Arabidopsis thaliana: one gene and its partners. The protein of the gene in region 3 interacts with the protein of the main gene of each other region in a pairwise test. Each region holds a gene or a part of one and is shown on either strand. Other genes may lie near its edges.

Region 1 (5,290 bases), on a different chromosome or scaffold from region 3:
AACACGATATGAAGAACGAAATCAGCATTTTGGAGTTGATTTTACTGTTTCTGTCACTCTCATCAGTGCTAGCTAGCTCCAAATTGCACGGTAACTCCTTGCTTTATCCCCTCATAACATATGCGAATATAGACTTGGATTTCTCGTTCAGCATTTGGCCAGGCTTTATTTTGAATTTACAGCCACTCCCTCTGATTTAATCTCGAGTTCGCTTTCTTTAGTCAGAACCAGATTCGACAGTTTATATTATGTTGATTCGTTTTAGGCGGACTAAGTGTTAGTTAGAATGGTTGCAGGAAACTCAGCTCATGAAATGGTGAGCATCTTGAACCAGAACAGAACAGCTCGGAAACTAGGCAAACTAAATGAGAGTCCCGGTCTTGGCTGCATGGCCCTCCAGTATGTTGAGCTCTGCGAGGGGAATTGCAATGTCAACAACACTCTCAGCTGTGAACACCCTGAAGACGACTTCACTCAGGTGTTTGCCCCAAACTGTGGTGTAGAACTCCCCACTTTTGGTACCATAACTGGCCATATCCTCGGCTGCAGCTCTAAGTATGCAGCACCAGAAGTCGCTTTCTCAGACATTCTCTTTAGAGATAGCAGTGCGTTGTCGGTGCTCAGAAACAGGTCGCATACCGAGGTTGGAGTGGGAATGGCTAGGTTGCATAAAGGTACCTTCTTTTGGTGTCTTCTCTTTAGCGATGGTGTGAAAAACTCCTCCTTTGTACTGGAAGATAACGGCCGGGGTATCAAACAAAGAACAGGCTGCTACAGCGGAAGTGCTTTTCCTTGCAGCAGCAACGCACACATGATTTGTATGCGCCTTCTGAACAGCTTTCTGGGACTTCTCTTCTCTTCCTTCTGTCTATTCGAGAAACACCTTAAATTTTGATTCTGAAAGGCAAACCATTTGCTGCTTGTTTGTAAAGACTAAAGAATAGATGGCACATTTTGTTATCGAATCACCAAATCAATGTTTTCCTTTATTCTTTTGAAAGAAAAATAAAAATAAGAAACAAAAGGTGGTTATATGGACGGATTCTCAAATCACACTCGCTATACATAAAAAGTGACTTGTCCTTTACTAGAGAGTGAAAGGCTTTGCATAGACATCGAATGTTTGGCAAGCAGTCAGTTGAGGCTCCTGTCAAAAAACAGATTTAAGAAAACATTTATCGATCTGTATCAACACAAGAGAGCAAGAAAGAATTTTACCTGTCTTAATCCCCCAATCGCACTTCCCCCTGTCAGAAGCATGCTCAGCACAGTCGTCACAACTCCACCACTACCACCACCATCATTCCCTGTATTCCTTATTGTGGTGCGCATAGAATTCAGAAGGCTTCCATAGGTTGTGCCTTGTGCGCTGCGTTCAATTGCTTGAATAAAACAGAAAGTCATAGCACCCGTAGACGTGATCTTCGACAGCGCCTGTGTATGTGTTTTAATCATGAGAGGAGGAACCAACTACAACAGCAAGACGTATGATTAGAGTCGTTCTACTTACTGATGTGTCGGCCGAAGTCTGATCATCATCACATCCACTAATTGAAATGGCTTCTCCACCAGCAGTTCCTTTCCACAAACCTGACCTAGGCCGATGATCCTCCCACACATACTGCCCAGCTCTGTTTCAATTAAAAAAAAAAATGGATGTATGTTAAATATAACGAGAGAGGTAAGCAACATCCCTTTTAGAAGCGGTTGAGGGACTAATAACCTGTTCATTCTGCATAGGAAGGGTAAATCCAGAACGGTACCACTATGGCAAGCATCGATAATTGAATGGAGCTTGACACCATGTGGAAGAGGGCGTACAATGGTTGCGTTGATCTCATCGTCTACAATCATCCCCTGAGTTTCAAAATCCAGAGGACAGAGTGTTTCATCATAGCCATCAACTTCATCACCGTTGTAGTTTCTTTGACGCGAACCATGACCAGAGTAGTGGAAGACAAGTGAGTCGCCTGCTGTGCATCCCTGTACGAGCCAATACAATGCCATCCTCATGTTTTGCTTGGTCGGGATACGATATGGATCAGTTTCTTCCTCTGAGAATGAAAACCATCCATGATGAACAATTAGTTAGTCAGCTATGGAATGCAACACATTTTTATCAAAGTGGTTCGAAATGGTAACTTGGAATGTGTGTTTATCAGATTGAAGAGGCCAAGGAAAATTGTATTCAAAATCCAAGGAATAGTAGTATAGTAGCAAACATAGGCATTTGAAAAGATAGAAATACTCTGTACCGGTAAGCATGAGAATTGAATCTGGGGAGAATTTGAATTTGTTGATGAGAAGGTGACGCATGCACTTGGCGTCGTTGATGCAGCCTTTGAGCTCGTGGCGAGAGAAACGATACGAGATGCCACAGATCACGGCCCTCTTCCTGCCATGGGGGTGAGGCAGCTGACCGGGAGGCGCGTGGATTTGGGGAGGCGGAGAAGGGGCGGAGGAAGGTTGCGGAGGAGGGGCGGTGCGAGGGTCGGCGATATGAGTAACAGCCTGGCAGAGAGCGCAGCGAATAGATCGGGCGCCGGATGGGAGCTGGAGAGGCGTCCGGCAACCGGAGCAATTCACCAGCATCGGAGGAGCGTAGATGCTTGAGGGAGGTGGCGGGTACATTATTATTCTCGGAAGGGAGGGAATCAGATGAAGACGAATCGGATTACCAAATCGCGTGAGGAAGACGACGATGCAGTCAATGGCGCACGTAAAGAATCGTCGTCAAATGCGATTAAAGGCATCTGACTTTTCTTTGGCAGCTCACCGAACCTTTTACTTTCGAAAGCCCATATAACAGTTTTTAAGCCCAATTCACTACTGGAATCCCTGGATCTGTTTCAGACGCCAGAGTAAAGTAAAAGAATGAGAGAAAGATCTTCTTATTCAATATGGTGGTGGAGAAGCTCTAACTCTCTAACTAAATAAATAACCACTTGCTCTCAAAGTTTAACAGGTATACACCATGATTCACCAATGGGGAGTAAAAAGTAACATTAACAAACACTTTCCACTTGTTTACTTAGATAGATCATACAAACACAGCCATTGCAAATGAAACAACAGGATACTACTAGCTAGGTGATGTTCTGAGACATCATTGGTATTCGAGGATCTGCATTCACGAGAACAACGACCGTGTCTTATTGCGTTCCAGTCGAGCTTCCCTCTGAGAAACAAAATAACACATAGGTAAAGCAGCAAAGAAGTTGGAAACGCCAAAAGCCTAAATATTCATTCACAACAACAACCTCTTTCTTCTTGCATTCCTTGTACACATCAAAATGATCCTGGCATTTACTCTTGTCTGATCCAAATTCTTCAAGACCTGATAAGAAATCAAGGGGTCAAGCTAAGAGGCATAACTAATGAAAACGGAAACACATAAACAATCAGGAATCAAACCCGACGTTATCAATTGATGGGACCTAAATCGAATCACTGACATGGGATTCAACCCACTAATCTAATCACCTTGAGGAAGCATAATGAAATAGATGAGATCTAATCAATGCTAATTCGTTATGGAACTTGACAGTACTGAAGATAACATGTCAAATCCTATCCTCGAAGAAACAATCACAAAGGGTGAGATCAGGAGCATGACTCACATTTGAGAGAAGCAGAGTACTGAAGATAACATGGAGAATCAGATATCCGAGCCGCGCTAGGGTACGCCGCCGCCGCGCCTTTCGTCGACATTTCCCGATCACCGTCTCTCTCTCTCACAACCGATTCCGCGAAGATATCTTAATGGAGATGGGCCTTTGAGACTCTCAGACTTATATATTCAATATCGGGCCTTTTATCCGTCCGGCCCAAAATAAAAGAGCACAACCTAACCTCTCCAATATTAGTCTTAACAAGTAACAACAATCAAACAAGAGAACAAAGGCTAATCCAGTTCCCTAAGCAACACTAATTCCAAATAGCTGTCACAAAAAGGGACACAGCTCTTACATTCATGTTTCACTAGGCAGTCTCTTGTGTACATTATACATATTTCGCATTTCCTCAGTTGACTCCGGTTACAAGATTCGTTTTTTAAAGCAAAGATCTAGGACTATCAGATTACAAATCATCTTGTAGCTGTGTTAGAAGCGCATCGGTCTCATGGGCATCGATTTCACTGTTGTTTACTGTTCTGTTTTCGTCCACATCAATAAGAGCTAGGTAAGATTTGTCTTCAAGATCCCCCGACTGCCTTAACAATTCCAAAACGGCCTCTTTACTGGTAACATCCGATTCCTCTTCACAGAGCTTGAAGAAACCAGACAGCATCAACACCTTGGGCCTCCAATTGCTGGACCCTTCAGCCGAAAAAGCATTTCTAAGACAAGTCAAAGCCTCTGAAATACACCTCTTTCTGGTATGACCAACAGCTAGAATCTCCCACGTACTTGAACTTGGTTTTCCTCCCATTTCAACCATGTGGTCGAACAACCCCTCAGCTGTCTCTAGTTGGTCGTTTTTGACATACGCATTCATCAGAAGATTTGGTATCCTGGGGTCATAAGAAGACTTGACTGGAAGCCATTCCTCATATACCTTCTCGGCCCCTTCAATGTCTCCCATCCTCACCAGCGACGAGACCAAGGCATGGTAACCCAAATTGGGAATGCTCGGGACAACAGATTTGTAGACGTGCCAGACTCGGTACAGCTCTTTCTTGTTACCAAGGCTGCCATACAAACTCAAGAGGTAGTGATACGGAATGCGATTACGACCAGTAATCCTTGCTTCAACCTTCCTCAGTGCATCTTCGGCTTTCTCAGTTTCACCCATCTTTATGTACATTGTGGCCATTGTGCTAAACGTGGTCCAGTTGGGATAAATGGAAACATCCGATTTCATCTGCTGATACACTAGTTCCATTTTCTCAACTGATCCTAAGGAGCCGCAAGAGGAGAGCCAGATGTTGTAGGAGTAAATGTCGAGACGTATATCTTTCTGCTTCATCTCGAAGACCATAGCGTCGACTTTGTCATACTCCCTGAGGTTCATGTAGAGAGTCATCATGACGTTGAAGGGAAGCGGGTGCAGGGCGTAACCTTTGTCCCTCATGGTGTTGAGCAGGGCTTCAGCCTTTTCTCTCGACTTGGCCCTCACATAGGCATTGAGGAGGGAACCATAAACTCTCCGGTCCTTAAAATTCTCAGGGAGCTGGAGGAAGAACTCTTCGGCGTCTGGAATGCCACGCACTTTGCCGATTAAGTCGAGCTGGATTGCAGCATCACTTGCAGACAACCGAAACCTTTCGCCTCTGTTGTTCATCCAGTCG
Region 2 (5,829 bases), on a different chromosome or scaffold from region 3:
ATAAATGTTAATGAATTTAGGACATTTCAACCATATATTTACTCTATCACCAATATCTACATCTTACTTGCCCCATACTCACCCTTAATTAGTACGAACAGAAATTTCAAGTAACTACGAGACTCTCACACATCTGACATCTTAATTCTCAAAATATTCAGACAAACAACACCTTTTGAACTTTAAACGATCCACAACAAAAACAGAACAATTGTTATATATATATATATATATATATATATAAAAGAACCAAAAACAATATAAGAAAACCAAAGTGAAACAATTTGTTTCGGAAAGACATTAGACAATATGCAAATGATTAATGCCAAATGAAGACATTATACTCGACCACGGCATCTAGACCAACAATCTTATAAGTCTTGGGCAGTGCATAGCCTCTAGCAAACCTGAAAGCACCAGTTCCTCCAATAATCGGCAACTCTCTCACCTTCGAAAATATATCATTCCGTCCATACACCGCGATGGTGCTTCCATTAAACTCTCCTGCCGTGAAAACATAGTTAAAGACCATTGTGAAGACTATGTCCTTCATGGCTGTTGATGCGTACATCCCCTGAGCTCTTCCCACTTCCTTTGAGCTCGGGTCTGGTCCTTCGGTCAACGGATCATCAGCGATCATAATCACGCCAAACTTGACGTTGAGGGTGGTTGTTGGGCGGGCTTCGGCAACTTTGACGGCGGTAGGTTTGTCACCGGAGATGACGTCATGGAAGTAGAAGTGGAGGTGGGTGAATTTCTCCGGCTTGTAGCCTTGATACGGCGTTGTTGTGGAGTAAGCTGTGACGGACACGGCAAGAAGAAGAATAGATGACAAAAGAGGAAGAAGAAGCAGAAAACGTTTAGCCATGTTCGTTGTTTGTAGCTATGGAAATGTGAAAATGTGATTTATATATATACACAAAACATGATCGTTACGCAATTGTTGGCTCATAAAACATTTGAATATGTCGTTTCTCGATTGGTGACAACAACATGTCCGTTGACGTGGAAGTAAACTAGGTGGTTCGATTTATAAACAACTAGATATTTCCACTTGTACGAATCATGATATAAACTGGCAAATATATAAGGATGCACGACGAAAGAAAAACAAAACAAATAAGAATAAAACAAGATTCTGCATTGTGATACACTACATATAAATATATAAAGAAAGATATATAGTAGATGCATATAATTGAAATTAAGATCAAAGATGTACATAGACATTGATGTTTAAATTTAGGATTGTCAATCTGTATATATGTACCTAAGATATATATTAATATATACATATGGTTCCAAACTCAATACCAGTGTTCTCTAATTAATGATCTTATATTTTGTACACTGAATTAATCATCCACTGAGTCCCAAAAGAGGAGGGCATAGGTGCGACGGGCTAGAGTTAAATCATAAAATAGATTAAAAACAATACATGATATTTGAAACAATGATCAATGACAAGACTTTAGTTTTCTTGCAAAAAGTATATAACTTATTTTAGAAACTCCTTGAATTTTGTTATAAAACAAAATTGGTAGTTGCATAATTTTTTTTTTTCAAAAAATAAAACAACGATCAAGAATTTTGGTAGTTGCATAATTTTGAAGTACAGTTGTGCTAGTTACTCAATTAAACTTAAAATATATTATATCAATTGTTTGGAATAACATTCATCTTTCGTCTTCTCAGTTTACTTGGAATGCACGAGAGCTTTCTCGTTGTGAGAATAACTCTTGGGTCATGCCTAATGAGAAATGCATGGGGACGAGAATCCTCTGTCGAGTTAAAAAGTATCAATGTCTTAAGGCTACTATTAATAAAACAAATCTATTATTCAGATCAAGTAGGTGCTCTGTTTTAGGCTGCAGGAATCCACGTTCACATGGCGTCAAAGTTAAGTACGTTGGGGCATCAAATGTTGTTTGTGATAAAATCTCATAACAAATGTGCTACTATCTAATTATAGAGTCGATTGTTCTGAGGAAAGGTAACGTTTTATTGATATTTGGCGACCGAGACTGAAGTTTCAAAAAGGCCATATTAATATTGATCGTAAAATGTTAAATTATATATAAACTGTAATGACCACACCAGCCACACTTTAAATTTTATATAAAAATAATCTAACTGGTAATTACATAATAATACTAATAGACATTTTTTATTTTATTTTTTTCCAATTGGTCACCTAATTTTCAACAACAACAGTGCAACAGTAAAACACTTACCAAATGGGTGAAAAAAGAGTTAAAAGTTTAAAAATTTGTTTTTACCAAACGTAAAAACAGTTAGAAAGAAAGAAATCCATCTTCCTCTTCCCCGATCTGTTTCTTCCACAAAGATATTTTTCTTTATTCTCTCGCAGTTCAATTAGGGTTTCAATCTCTCTGCTCTGCTTGTCATCACCACCACCACCACCACCGTCGTCGTCTCTCTGTATCTCTCCGGCGGGTTCTCTCTCTACTTCCCCCGGTAAACTTCGCTTACTCTTCCACCATCTTCTTTCTCTCTTCGCCGCCCCTTTTCATTTCACTTTTTTCTCCAAGTTCTTACCAAGCTTCTAAGCTCATTTCCTATTAATCGAAGCTCGTTTGAAGTAATTAGGGCTTGGCTGAATCCTAATTGCTGAATTAAGTTACTCGATTTGATTCCAAATGGCTAAATCCTAATTTTGATGAGCTTTGCCTGTTTCTATCGACATTAGAGTTGGAGAATTTTTGGATTGTTTCTTTCTTTTGGATAGTGTATCGAACCAGATTTTGTGGTTTTAGAGTTCTTATTGATCATCATGAGTAGGCGATTTTGTGTTTTGTGTTTTCCCAAATTAGCTTTTGATGATTATCACTATGACTATAATCGATGATACTGTGTTTCTTTTAGCTGAGTTTGATATCTCACAGAGTTTATGTGTATTGGTTAGAATCGATTGATTGATGTGCAAATCCTGAAACAAAATGGTACCATTTCGATATTAATGTTGCTATTTTTAGTCATCTGAGTTTGAGTGTTTTTGTTGAAAGTTTTTCAGAAAATACTCATAGATGGACAAACAATTGTTTGCTTTGTCTCTGCTGAATCATATTCTGGAACTCAAGTATAGATTTTTTTTTTGCTTCATAGTCGTTTATGTATGTTCACTAATACTAGCAATGCTTTGGTGATTGGCTATTTTGCTTCATAGTAGTTTATTTATGAAATGGTCTTTTTTGACACTGTTTAATGATTGGCTATGTGCAGGAGGATTAAAAGATGGACCAGTCTTTTATTTTGATATTCCGTTAGCTTGTTCAGTTATTGTAGAAGCTGTACCGTCAAGACTTTTAATATCTCAAATGGATGATGGTGGGCATCGTGAGAATGGTCGGCATAAAGCAGCAGTTCAGGGCCAGGTACCTTGACAATCCCAAAGCTAAATCAGTTGTTTTCCTTTCTCTGCTCTATATATACATCTTATGGGTGTTCATCATGCTTGCGGCTAAACACCTCAGATTTGAGACTGTTTTTGATGGGAATGTATGATTTGTTCATGATGTAAAACAGTGGTTGATGCAGCATCAGCCGTCGATGAAACAAGTGATGTCGATAATAGCAGAGCGCGATGCAGCGATTCAGGAGAGAAATCTGGCGATATCAGAGAAAAAAGCAGCAGTAGCTGAAAGGGACATGGCGTTTCTTCAGAGGGACACCGCCATTGCTGAGCGCAACAATGCGATAATGGAGAGAGACAGTGCTCTTACAGCACTCCAATACCGTGAGAACTCTATGGTTACTGCTCCTGCTGCCAATATGTCAGCATGTCCACCAGGATGTCAAATATCACGTGGTGTAAAACACTTGCACCATCCGCACATGCATCATCATCATCAACAACATCACATACCTCAGTTGACTGAAAATGCATATGAAACCAGAGAGATGGAGCCAAATGATGGTCTCCCAACATCACCACCTGCCGGATCCACCTTGGAATCTGCCAAACCAAAACGTGGTAAAAGAGTGAACCCAAAGGCGACAACACAAACTGCTGCTAATAAGAGAGGGCCAAAAAATCAGAGGAAGGTTAAGAAAGAGAGCGAGGACGACTTAAACAAGATAATGTTTGTAAAGACGACCCATGACTACACAGACGAAGATTCAAGTAAGCATATCTTAATAGGATCAAAATCTGACTGGAAAAGTCAAGAAATGGTGGGGCTGAACCAAGTGGTTTACGACGAGACAACGATGCCACCACCTGTATGTTCATGTACAGGAGTTCTCAGACAGTGCTACAAATGGGGAAATGGAGGTTGGCAATCATCGTGTTGCACAACTACACTATCAATGTATCCTTTACCTGCACTGCCCAACAAAAGGCATGCTCGAGTTGGTGGACGGAAAATGAGCGGAAGCGCGTTCAACAAGCTTCTAAGCCGGCTTGCTGCAGAAGGGCATCATGATCTTTCAAACCCGGTCGATCTGAAGGACCATTGGGCAAAGCACGGTACAAACCGCTACATTACGATTAAATGATATGTGCATTTAGGTGTGAGTTGTTCTTACGACATTATCTGATTTTAAATCATGTGTACTAAATTCAAATAAACTCGAGAGGAAAAGAATTGTATGTGGAGCCAATGTTATGTTGTATTATATAATTCGAAAATTTTTAGTAACATCACAAACCGTAGAATTATTATTTTTTGTTCACATCAACAAAGAAAAACTAGACAACTTTTTCTTTTGAACTGATACTGAATCATGGATGGAATGTGAGCTATTTCACTCACCTACAACTTACGGACTGTGTGAACAAATGGATCTGATCATATCTATCAATTTGGAATTTTTGATAAAGAAATCACAAATGATTAGTCTAGGGAGATTTCACTGTGATATACGACTCGAGAGTTTTCTCTGCTTTTTTTGTGGGACCTATATATTTTATTTATTAAGAAAAAACATTATGTTTCATTAAAAATAAACCAATCAGTCGCACTAAAATAATCTAAATACTGTATAAACAAAAAATAAAATGATAAAAACATTAAAAGCTATGATGTATTTATTAGTATAAATACTTTTGATGTTTAAATTTATAATAATATAATTGAGAGTCAAATAATTTTTGTTTTCGTTTTTATTTAATATATTAATTTTGAAAAATAAAATAACTAATATAATAAGAAAATATGAAAAACAATTCTATGCCCAAATTAAATGAAACAAGTTTCTATCTACAGAATATGAAAATGCTGAATTTAAGTGTAAATTATTTATATATAATTGATTTTAAAAATTGATATAAATAATAAGTGTAAATTATTTATATATAATTAACTCAAATTTCACGCAGATAAGTAGCATTTAAAAATTCATTATATTTTCTTTTGATACAACTTAGAACAATCTATTATTAGTAGTGTGCTGCGTCTACTCCAAGTTTTGTTGGCGTGATGACAACTACATAACAATAAATGTTGTGAGTACAAGCAAAACATCAAACAAATGAAATTGACAAATAATATTACAAATGATTTAGACACTAAGAGTGTAATATTAACCAACAAAACGTTCAAAAACACATCCCAACAGAGAGCCATGACACGACAACACCAGAAATATCACTATCCTTAAATGAGAGTAAAGATTTAGGACAACACGGTAAGTTATTCAAGTTCTAACCAGAAATTATGCATTGATCCATATCTCTTTTCCACTTTACATTTTCACTCCTTTGTAAAGGAGTGAAAACGAAAAATGGAAGAGTGATATGGATAATACATAGCATCTGGTTGGAATTTGAATAACCTACCGCGTCTACATGGCTCTTTACTTTAATAA
Region 3 (4,836 bases):
TCCAAATATTATATATGCATCTCATTTCTGAGAGTACTTAAATCTTTTTTTGTAGAGTAATTATCGTGCTGTTCGGTTTAATCCCTACTTGTGGCCATCGGGTCAGAAGGTAACAGTTTAACCATTCCAATGACCTTAGATCAAGTTTCCACCGTATTCTGTTGATTGTCAATGACTCAACACAGATGACAAATGCTGTTGGTAAAGCCTTGTTCTCTAAAGCAGGGGAGCTTTGTGTGCCTGTTGGCTTCATGTGCATGAAGGTCTGGTAGTATTTTCACCTTTGTGGTCTCCAAAGTTGTGTGGTTTACGCGAAGTTCTTTCGTTAAGAATCTTGTTTTCTTTATTCAGGGTCTAGATCTTCACATTGCAGAAATTGAGGAACTTTGCACAGAATTTCCAAAGACAACTGTTTTACTAGATCACGCTGGATTCTGCAAAGTACCAGAGTGAGCTGTTCTTTGCTTTTTGTGAAAAATAATCCCGTCCCCTGAAATTCCTATAGAATGTAGTACTAATATTCATGGTTTCAACAACCTGCAGAAGTGGTGAGGCAAAGCTTGCTTATTCTCAACTCATGAAGCTGTCTAGATTTCCACAGGTGAAAAAGAAAAAAAAATTACTTTTAGAATCTGAATTCTCATAGATTATAGATTATACGAGTCTGAGGGAAGAATATTGTAACAAGCAGGTATATGTGAAATTCAGTGCTCTATTCAGGATCTCAAGAACCGGCTTCCCGTATCAGGACCTATCGCCTCTCCTATCTCAACTTGTGTCCCATTTTGGGGCAAATCGTGTCATGTGGGGCAGGTAAACATACTTATTTACCTCGCTTTCCCGACTAAAAACCACAAAAAACCTTCTATATCTACTAACAATACATGATCATATACGGATTGGCTGTTTTCCATCTGCTGCAGTGACTTCCCATTTGTTGTTCTTGAATGTGGATATAAAGAAGCTAAAGAAGCTGTGACTATCATTGCAAAAGAAGCATCCTTGTCAAGTTCTGAGATGGACTGGATTCTGGGAAAGACTCTGATGCAGCTCTTCCCTGGACAATGGGTTCTTCCTTGAGAGGCTTGTCAGAAGTAATAGGTTGCATGCGGATGAGATAATGAAGCAAGCAATGGAAGTTGTATCATTAAAGATACTTAACTCTAGCCTATATATTACCAAACACTAGATGTATACCAATTTAGTAAATCAACAAAAATCTTATGTGTTGATATCATAATGATTCATCGTGAGATGATGGAGGGCCTGGATGTTGATGTGCTCTGATCGAAAATTTCTTCCACAATGGGTGAGCTGCTAGGATCCCCTTTCCGTGTTCAATGAGGTGAGGTGATAATTTATAATCATCGGTGGCTTTGCTGGGACATTTATGAGGGATAAGTTTCAAGAATCAAGCTTCTCTCCAGTAGCTTGTTTTACAAGTAAGTAAGAGTTGGCGTCTCCGGTTATAATTTATACCCGTGTAAGTTAGTTTCATCTATTTACGAAATCGCCATGATGGAGTATCGAGTTGTGCAAGTGATAGCAATGTGGAATTCAAAGAGACAATTGAGTTTTCTTTGAGAATTGAAAGAAGTGGTGATCGAGATTAGTCAGCATTGTAAAACTTGTTTGGGTTGGATTCTTGAAATGTACAAGCGCGGTTTCATATGGTAGAATCGATTCAGAGAGTGTGAAGTGAATTTACACAACTTGCTAAACTAGTAGAGCAAGTGAAGCTCTTAAAAATAGAAATCCTCTCTGCCTAACAACTTTTGTTTTACTCGTCTTAATTATCAACATTAGTTAAACTTCTTTCTTTTATTTAATCTGTGACCATTATTGATTTTATAGCTAATCACATTTTGATCCTTATATAAATGCTACTACTAGTACGATTTTGAGTGGCTTTACTCTACTTTACTTTCCACTTCCTCTTCATCTACTCTTTCTCTCTCTATCTCTTTCCACTTCCTCTTGCTTTTACTCCTGGGTTAGGGTTTAGGGTTTCTTGGTCGACGTGATGAGTCATCGGCGAGATTACGGCAGTGATGCAGTTCACGTGAGAATCACCCACGACCCTCCGCCTGAGAATTGTTTTCCAAATTCCGGCGACAGTTCCGTCTGGGCCACTGAGGATGATTACAGCCGTGTCTGGGCCATAAACTCTGATGGCGCAGAGTCTCCGAGCAAGAAGACACGATCTTCCTCCTCCTCCGAGATCGGGAAATCGTTCTTCAAGACGAAGCTTTGCTTCAAATTCCGCGCCGGAACTTGTCCCTACTCCGCGAGCTCTTGCCACTTTGCTCACAGCGCGGAGGAGCTCCGTCTTCCTCCGCCGCCGCCGCCCAATTGGCAGGAGACGGTGACAGAGGCTTCAAGAAACAGAGAAAGCTTTGCGGTTAGTTTAGGCCCTCGTGGCAATGTTGCTCAGACTCTCAAGTCTCCGAATTGGAAGACAAGGATTTGCAATAAGTGGCAGACTACTGGCTATTGTCCTTTTGGTTCTCACTGCCATTTTGCTCATGGACCTTCAGGTAAAGCTACGGCCTTTTTCATCTATTAGTAACCCCAACGAATGTAGTTTAGAAATGGGTTTTAATCGGTGTTGCTTGATGAACTGTGAGTTTAGAGTGTCACTAGAGGTTAATGGATGCTAATTCTCTGGACTAAGAGATCATCTTTGAACACTAGAACTATCTTTATTAGCTTAAGTTAAGTCTGTTGAATTGTATATGTAATGGTATTGGTTTCCTTGAGGATTCTTTATATGGACTGTGGGTGCCAATTAGTTAATCGTGCTTGGTGAATGGATTGGTGACAATGTCTATTAATGGACTTAAAGTGGATCGAGTGAGATTGTTGAAATGTTTCCTATTGCTACATTGCCATTACGTGATGATGTCAATTGGTTTCTGATTGGAAAGAATTCTTGATCTGCTTGTTCCTAATGGCTATGGAAATGCAGAAAGTTTCAATCGTCGCTAGCTAAAAGTTTGAGTCTTTATGGTATCTTTTGCAGAGTTGCATACATTTGGCGGAGGACTCGTTGAAGGAGAATGTAAGATCGGAACATCCGCCACTTTGGACACAAAGCAGAGAGGACAAGTAGACACAGTGACTAGCCTTGTTTCTCCTGGAGTCTCATCCCAACGGACATCTAGTGCTGTTACGCAGAAACCCAACGGAGTCAGAACTCAACGGAAATGGAAAGGACCAGATAAAATCAGTCGTGTTTATGGTGATTGGATCGACGATATTGAGTAAAGTCACTGCATTTTCACTGATTTGTTGATCAAGGTATAGCTTCTTTTAGACTTGTAACTGTGTGGACATATTAGCTTCCTCCCTTCTGTGGTTGTAGATTGTGACTCACTCAACAAAGACAAAAACTCTCATCTTTTTGTTTATTCTCTTTGTCAATCCTAAATCTAATCTTGCAGAAGATCAAACCGAACTAAATAATGTTGCGTACTTGTAAACCGGATCATCATTGCTACCTAAACCTTTTTCTTTATTTCCATGGTCAATATTAATTTTTCGTTTTGAGTTATTTTTAACAGTAAAATGATTTATTATTAAGACAACGATTTTAACTGTCACAAAAGACTCGCTCAAAATGGTAAGCAAAGCCACTTCTGTCTCTCAGACATAGCCACTTTATTCTCCTCATTTCTCTCTATTAACTTGAACAATAATACTCCTTTTCTCACAAGGATTTGTAAGAACAACCTTTCTTATATCCCAAGCAATCTACGAAACTGGTAGAATCTGGGGGTTTCTCTAATCATCAACCTTCAAATGTCGTCAACAACATCAATAGATTCAATACCAGCTACTGCTGTTTTCCCTAGTGTTTCCATGCCTGTCACCGTAGTTTTGACCGGTGTTCTTCTCTTTGTAATTTTCGCCGGATTCTTCTCTCTTTTCTTATGGCAGTTTCTTCTGAATCGATTATTTACTACTTGGAACCTTCAACGAACACCTTACGGTGACCTAATCCATGTGGCCACTCCGCCTGAAAATACTGGCCTCGACCCGTTTATCATCCGGTCCTTTCCTGTATTCCACTATTCATCTGCAACTAAGAAAAATCATGGGACGGAATGCGCTATTTGCTTGTCAGAGTTTTCAGATGAAGATACAGTTAGGCTCATAACGGTTTGTCGTCATCCCTTTCATTCAAATTGCATTGATCTTTGGTTTGAGTTACACAAGACTTGTCCTGTTTGCCGGTGTGAGTTAGATCCTGGCATGATTGGATCTGGAAGGCTTGAATCATTCCACAACACAGTCACAATTACTATTCAGGACATAAACCATGATGAGGAAAATCCTCCAACCGCTGGTTCAAGCAAAAGGCTAATAGAAGCCTCGGCTTGGCGATTCTCGAGGTCACATTCTACTGGACATTTCATGGTTAAGACTACGGATGCTAATGTGAAGTCCAAAAGAAGGCATTACCAAACAGGAAGCTGTGTCTCGTTCGACGAACTTACTCGGTATGAAGGAGCAGGATGGCAATGGCTTGGTGATTCATCACACATTAGCAGGATTGAAGTATAGTTTACTGAATTTCTGTTACATCTTCATTATTGTGTTCTTTGTAGCAGTAGTTATTTCAAAACTGTAATAAGATCTCTAGTCAGATTCTCATGCTCCTATCGGATAACAGAGAAAATAATAAGAGTCACTCCACAATGTTTTCTTCGGAAGTGTTTTTGTCTTCTACAGTGTCTCCATCTTCAGAAGCGTTGTTAGCTTCTACACTGTCACCATCTTCAGATTCACTGGCGCTTCTCAGACTAAACTTTAGAGTGATAGGTCTACCCATTA
Region 4 (4,531 bases), on a different chromosome or scaffold from region 3:
TGTGTCTTTTGAAACTCCATAACGAGTTCAATATCCTCTTTCGTCCATATCCCCTGAGATCCTGCTTCAAATATAGTATGTGCACGATGATACACACTATTATAAGTCCTCCAAGGTAAAGCAGATGTAATTTCTTTCCAACAGCCTTTAAGTTGTGGGTATGCCTTGCATTCCATAACCATCTTTATCCCCTCATCTCCTAAAGCATGGTTATCAATGTATTCTAATACAGCATTCTTTACCATCTCATCTTCTTCTTTTGTAAACCGCTTACCCCTCACCACCTTAACTTCTTCTTCATCATCATCTTCCGTTCCTTCATCATCATCACTAGGAAAAAACTCCACTTGGTCAGAAAACTTCACCCTTTTACTTGATGTAGATGGGGTGGTCAAGTCTTCATCACTTTTATCAGACTTTTCTTCAGCCTCAGAGACTTCACTTTGCTTCTTCTTCTTCTTCTTCTTCCTTCTCTTCTTTGCGTCTTTGGTAGAGTTCAAGCCGTTTTCTTCAGTCTCTGAATCCTCACTTTGTTTCTTTTTCTTCCTTTTCTTCTTTCCATCATTTGTAGAGTCCAAATTGATATCTTCAACATCTGAATCCACACTTGGTTTCTTCTTGTTGTTCTTCCTCTTCACCTCCTTGTCTATGTTTTCTTCAGCTCCCAAATCAGTATCATCCCGCTTTCTTTTTCCCTTTTTCTTATCAGATACTTTGGAGCTTTCAGTATTTTCTATCACATCACCACCAGATTCTTTCTTGCTCTTCTTCTTCTTCCTCTTCACACCATCATGAGCTTCAGAATCAACCTTTGTCTCCTTACTTTTCTCCTTGGATTTCTTCTCCACACCATCATCCTCAGCTTCGGAATCAGCCTTTGTCTCCTTACTTCTCTTTTTCGATTTCTTCTTCACAGCATCAACAGCTTCAGAATCAATCCTTATTGGCTTCTTCGACTTCTTCTTCTTCTTAACTATAAAAACCTCATCACCTAGTTTCTCACTTTCACGCCCAGTTATCTCCATATCTTCTCCAGTAAAACCATCCTTATTCTCTCGCTTATTCTTCTTCCTCTTCTTTTCCTTATCCTTCATAGAACTGTGCTCGGAAATGAATTCTTCACCGGTTTCTTCAGAATCAACCTTAGCGTCACTCTTTTTCTTCTTATTCTTCTTCTCCTCAGCCATCTCATATACCGGCGGACACGGTTACGAAACCCTAATCACAAAAACCGCCGCGACTTTCGCTCAAATCTAAATCCGAATTTCGATTGAGTGATTTTAAGACACAGCGATGCTGAGATTGATTGTGAAGGAGCTTTTGGATACGGCGGCTTCCTTCATGAATTTGAGATGATTAGGGTATTTAATTACTTTTGTTAAAAAAAATTCCTTTGAACTTGGGTCTTCAATGACCCACTACCCATATTTGGGGCTTGAGTACTACTAGGCCCAACGTATTGCTCTTGACGTTATCAAGTTTTAACAAGAGTTTGATCTAATTTCTATCACTTATGTTACAACTTACAAAGTTGGTGGTTATATTGTGAAATTTCTAAATGATTTGGAAGAAAAAGAAATCAAATAATTACTACTAGAATAAATCAGTATATAAGAGACCTTGGGAAAAGTATTTAAAAATGTAGAATCTTCTTGGATTAACTTCAATGTTTTGTGTGGTGGAGTTTGGATCTTACATGATCATTTGGGACAAAGCTAGTTTTCATCAAAGGGATGCAATTGAAGAACATACTAAACATATATAATCGAAAACTGATATAAAAAAACATAAACACAAAGGTTTGTTTTGAGTTTTGACCTTATTATCAAGTGATGAAAGAATGTAAAACTTAGTTTTTAATGATGTTGATAACCTCTTTTGATTTAAATAAATTCTTTTTAATGTGTGATTTATGCTCAAAACTAAATTTTTCTAATGTTTTCATATTATTTAATTTTGCCCTTGTTAACTCTCATGGATGTTGCCATGTTGATTTGATTGAGCTTTGGATTGGAATTTTTTTTTTTATTTTTTTTTTTTTTTTTTTTTCTTTGGATTGGAATTCATTCGGTAAGTAAGAATATTTCGTGATTATAGAACTTCTAATTATGTAAAAAAAATAAAATAATGCGTGAAAATAATAAAAAGTTGTTACCCTTTTTTTTTACTTAGGTCAAGAGGTCACAACACACGCCCCACCTTGAATCTGAGAGAGAGAGAGAAGTACGTCCCCACACCTTGACATGGTCATGGAGCCCAAGAAGAACCAAAATCTACCAAGTTTCTTAAACCCATCACGACAGAATCAGGACAACGACAAGAAGAGGAAACAAACAGAGGTTAAAGGTTTCGACATTGTGGTCGGCGAAAAGAGGAAGAAGAAGGAGAATGAAGAGGAAGACCAAGAAATTCAGATTCTTTATGAGAAGGAGAAGAAGAAACCAAACAAAGATCGTCACCTTAAAGTTGAAGGAAGAGGTCGTAGAGTTAGGTTACCTCCACTCTGTGCAGCAAGGATTTATCAATTGACTAAAGAATTAGGTCACAAATCAGATGGTGAGACTCTTGAATGGTTGCTTCAACATGCTGAGCCATCGATACTCTCTGCTACTGTAAATGGTATCAAACCCACTGAGTCTGTTGTTTCTCAACCTCCTCTCACGGCTGATTTGATGATTTGTCATAGCGTTGAAGAAGCTTCAAGGACTCAAATGGAGGCAAATGGGTTGTGGAGAAATGAAACAGGACAGACCATTGGAGGGTTTGATCTGAATTACGGAATTGGGTTTGATTTCAATGGTGTTCCAGAGATTGGTTTTGGAGATAATCAAACGCCTGGACTTGAATTAAGGCTGTCTCAAGTTGGGGTTTTGAATCCACAGGTTTTTCAACAAATGGGTAAAGAACAGTTCAGGGTTCTTCATCATCATTCACATGAAGATCAGCAGCAGAGTGCAGAGGAAAATGGTTCATAAAGCTCAAACCTTTAAATGGCTTTTAATTAGATATATTTAGCGAGAATGTGATTGCTAGTGAAATCTCAAACTTGATAGCTTATTCATAGCTTATTTTACTTCGATCAGCAAGAGAACAATGGTTCCTAAAGCTCAAACCTTTTTTGGCGTTTGCTTTAGATTGTGCATACATAAAGTGAGAAGATGAAATATGGTTTTGCTGAAATCTCAATGTGCTCATTCATAGTTTATTTTGCTCGACCTTTCTTTAATCAATAGCTTTGATGTACTGATTACTTTATAAAGTTAAGAAGTAAGTTCTGCTCTTTAAACTGTACTGAATGGAGGCTTCTCTGCATAATTAAGCAAACACTCTGATGATTGAGTTTCGTTGTACAAAGGAAAGTTTTTGCCTTAGTTAGAAATTCATCTTGTTTCTTTGCCCAGAAGCTGGCTTGCTGATAGAATTTGGACTACGCTACGTTTTCTTGGGTGAAAAACAATCCGCGTCCTTCCACGAGAACAGTGAAACTGTACGATGTTCTTATTGTATTGTGTCAACAGCCCATAATCAATGAAATGGGCCTCAATGACAGTATAAGCCGAAAAATATTCGAATGCGATCTAGAACTAATCTGAAACCAAACTTCTCAAATCATTAACATTTGATTAGGGCCTAAAAGTCCATCCGTATTTTAAAAAAAAGTTGATAACAAATGCAAAAATACAAATATACATTACTATTAAAACTCAATCTTTCTGATTATATGTGGATGGAGAAGCTGTTTTGCAGTGTGGATTTGAATTTTGAAGTTCTTGTTCAAAAAAGAAAAGAAACTTGGTCAAGCTTCAAAAGAAAGAAAGAAATAAAGACAAGTATACAAATACGTTGACTTCAATTAATATGAAGATAGAAGAGAAAGATATAGAAATGCGTTTTAAATTGGCGGTGGGAGATATGTGATTCCCTTGGTCCCGCTTTCTCGTTTGATTCGGTAACCTAAACCTTCTCCATCCAAGAAGACACAAACAAGGAAGAAATTAACCTACGTACGTACATCATTTGAACTACTTATATCTATTATAAATGGAAAATCTATTTTCTTCTTCTCTCTCTTTTAACCGAAAAAGGAAAAGTCCTCGAAATAACTCTTTAATATAATTCATGTGGAAACCTTCTATATATTTTTTGCATGCTTTTTTGAAATTAAGTAATGGCATACTAATTAGAAGAAGACGAAAAATAATATGTCTAAGTAATTGAGTTTCGTGGTCAAGGCAAATCAAGATTGCATTCTTTAATTAAGTGTACAAATTATGATGTAAGAACCGTTATTTGGCATAACCTAATATATATTAAAAACTGATTTTTTTTTTTTTTAACTTCTGTAAGAAATGGTTTTCTTAATTACCAATCATGATCTATTATTGTAAAATGTGTAATTTTGTGTTGCGATTGAAGTGTTCTTAGATAAAGATATGTCATATGCATGATATCATCTATTTGATTTTGAGAAAATAAAAACATAACATGAGAACATCGTAGAGAGTAAGATACATGACAAAGAGAAAGAATA

The links.
Region 1: the proteins of AT2G35430 (region 3) and MC1 interact in a two-hybrid assay, tested with the Arabidopsis thaliana proteins (one large-scale study listed by BioGRID).
Region 2: the proteins of AT2G35430 (region 3) and BPC6 interact in a two-hybrid assay, tested with the Arabidopsis thaliana proteins (one large-scale study listed by BioGRID).
Region 4: the proteins of AT2G35430 (region 3) and AT5G41030 interact in a two-hybrid assay, tested with the Arabidopsis thaliana proteins (one large-scale study listed by BioGRID).

Annotation. Positions count from the first base shown.
Region 1 is NC_003070.9:409,224-414,513, reverse strand, and holds MC1 (metacaspase 1), read right to left. Parts: upstream 2,851-5,290; 5' UTR 2,632-2,850; coding exon 2,256-2,631; intron 2,055-2,255; coding exon 1,724-2,054; intron 1,632-1,723; coding exon 1,511-1,631; intron 1,435-1,510; coding exon 1,219-1,434; intron 1,148-1,218; coding exon 1,088-1,147; 3' UTR 960-1,087; downstream 1-959. Other genes in the region: AT1G02180 (ferredoxin-like protein), read left to right, coding at 9-90, 297-895; AT1G02160 (Cox19 family protein (CHCH motif)), read right to left, coding at 3,153-3,337, 3,621-3,711; AT1G02150 (Tetratricopeptide repeat (TPR)-like superfamily protein), read right to left, coding at 4,081-5,290. UniProt on the Arabidopsis thaliana protein: Cysteine protease that cleaves specifically after arginine or lysine residues. Does not cleave caspase-specific substrates. Acts as a positive regulator of cell death.
Region 2 is NC_003076.8:16,997,949-17,003,777, forward strand, and holds BPC6 (basic pentacysteine 6), read left to right. Parts: upstream 1-2,310; 5' UTR 2,311-2,478; intron 2,479-3,243; 5' UTR 3,244-3,338; coding exon 3,339-3,395; intron 3,396-3,546; coding exon 3,547-4,518; 3' UTR 4,519-4,659; downstream 4,660-5,829. Other genes in the region: AT5G42510 (Disease resistance-responsive (dirigent-like protein) family protein), read right to left, coding at 320-868. UniProt on the Arabidopsis thaliana protein: Transcriptional regulator that specifically binds to GA-rich elements (GAGA-repeats) present in regulatory sequences of genes involved in developmental processes.
Region 3 is NC_003071.7:14,899,445-14,904,280, reverse strand, and holds AT2G35430 (Zinc finger C-x8-C-x5-C-x3-H type family protein), read left to right. Parts: upstream 1-1,895; 5' UTR 1,896-2,023; coding exon 2,024-2,537; intron 2,538-3,022; coding exon 3,023-3,267; 3' UTR 3,268-3,577; downstream 3,578-4,836. Other genes in the region: AT2G35450 (catalytic/ hydrolase), read left to right, coding at 56-109, 186-263, 352-449, 544-601, 692-813, 924-1,080; AT2G35420 (RING/U-box superfamily protein), read left to right, coding at 3,802-4,566; AT2G35410 (RNA-binding (RRM/RBD/RNP motifs) family protein), read right to left, coding at 4,691-4,836.
Region 4 is NC_003076.8:16,426,463-16,430,993, forward strand, and holds AT5G41030 (TCP family transcription factor), read left to right. Parts: upstream 1-2,243; coding exon 2,244-2,975; 3' UTR 2,976-3,217; downstream 3,218-4,531. Other genes in the region: AT5G41020 (myb family transcription factor), read right to left, coding at 1-1,187; AT5G41025 (uncharacterized protein), read left to right, coding at 217-489, 728-973.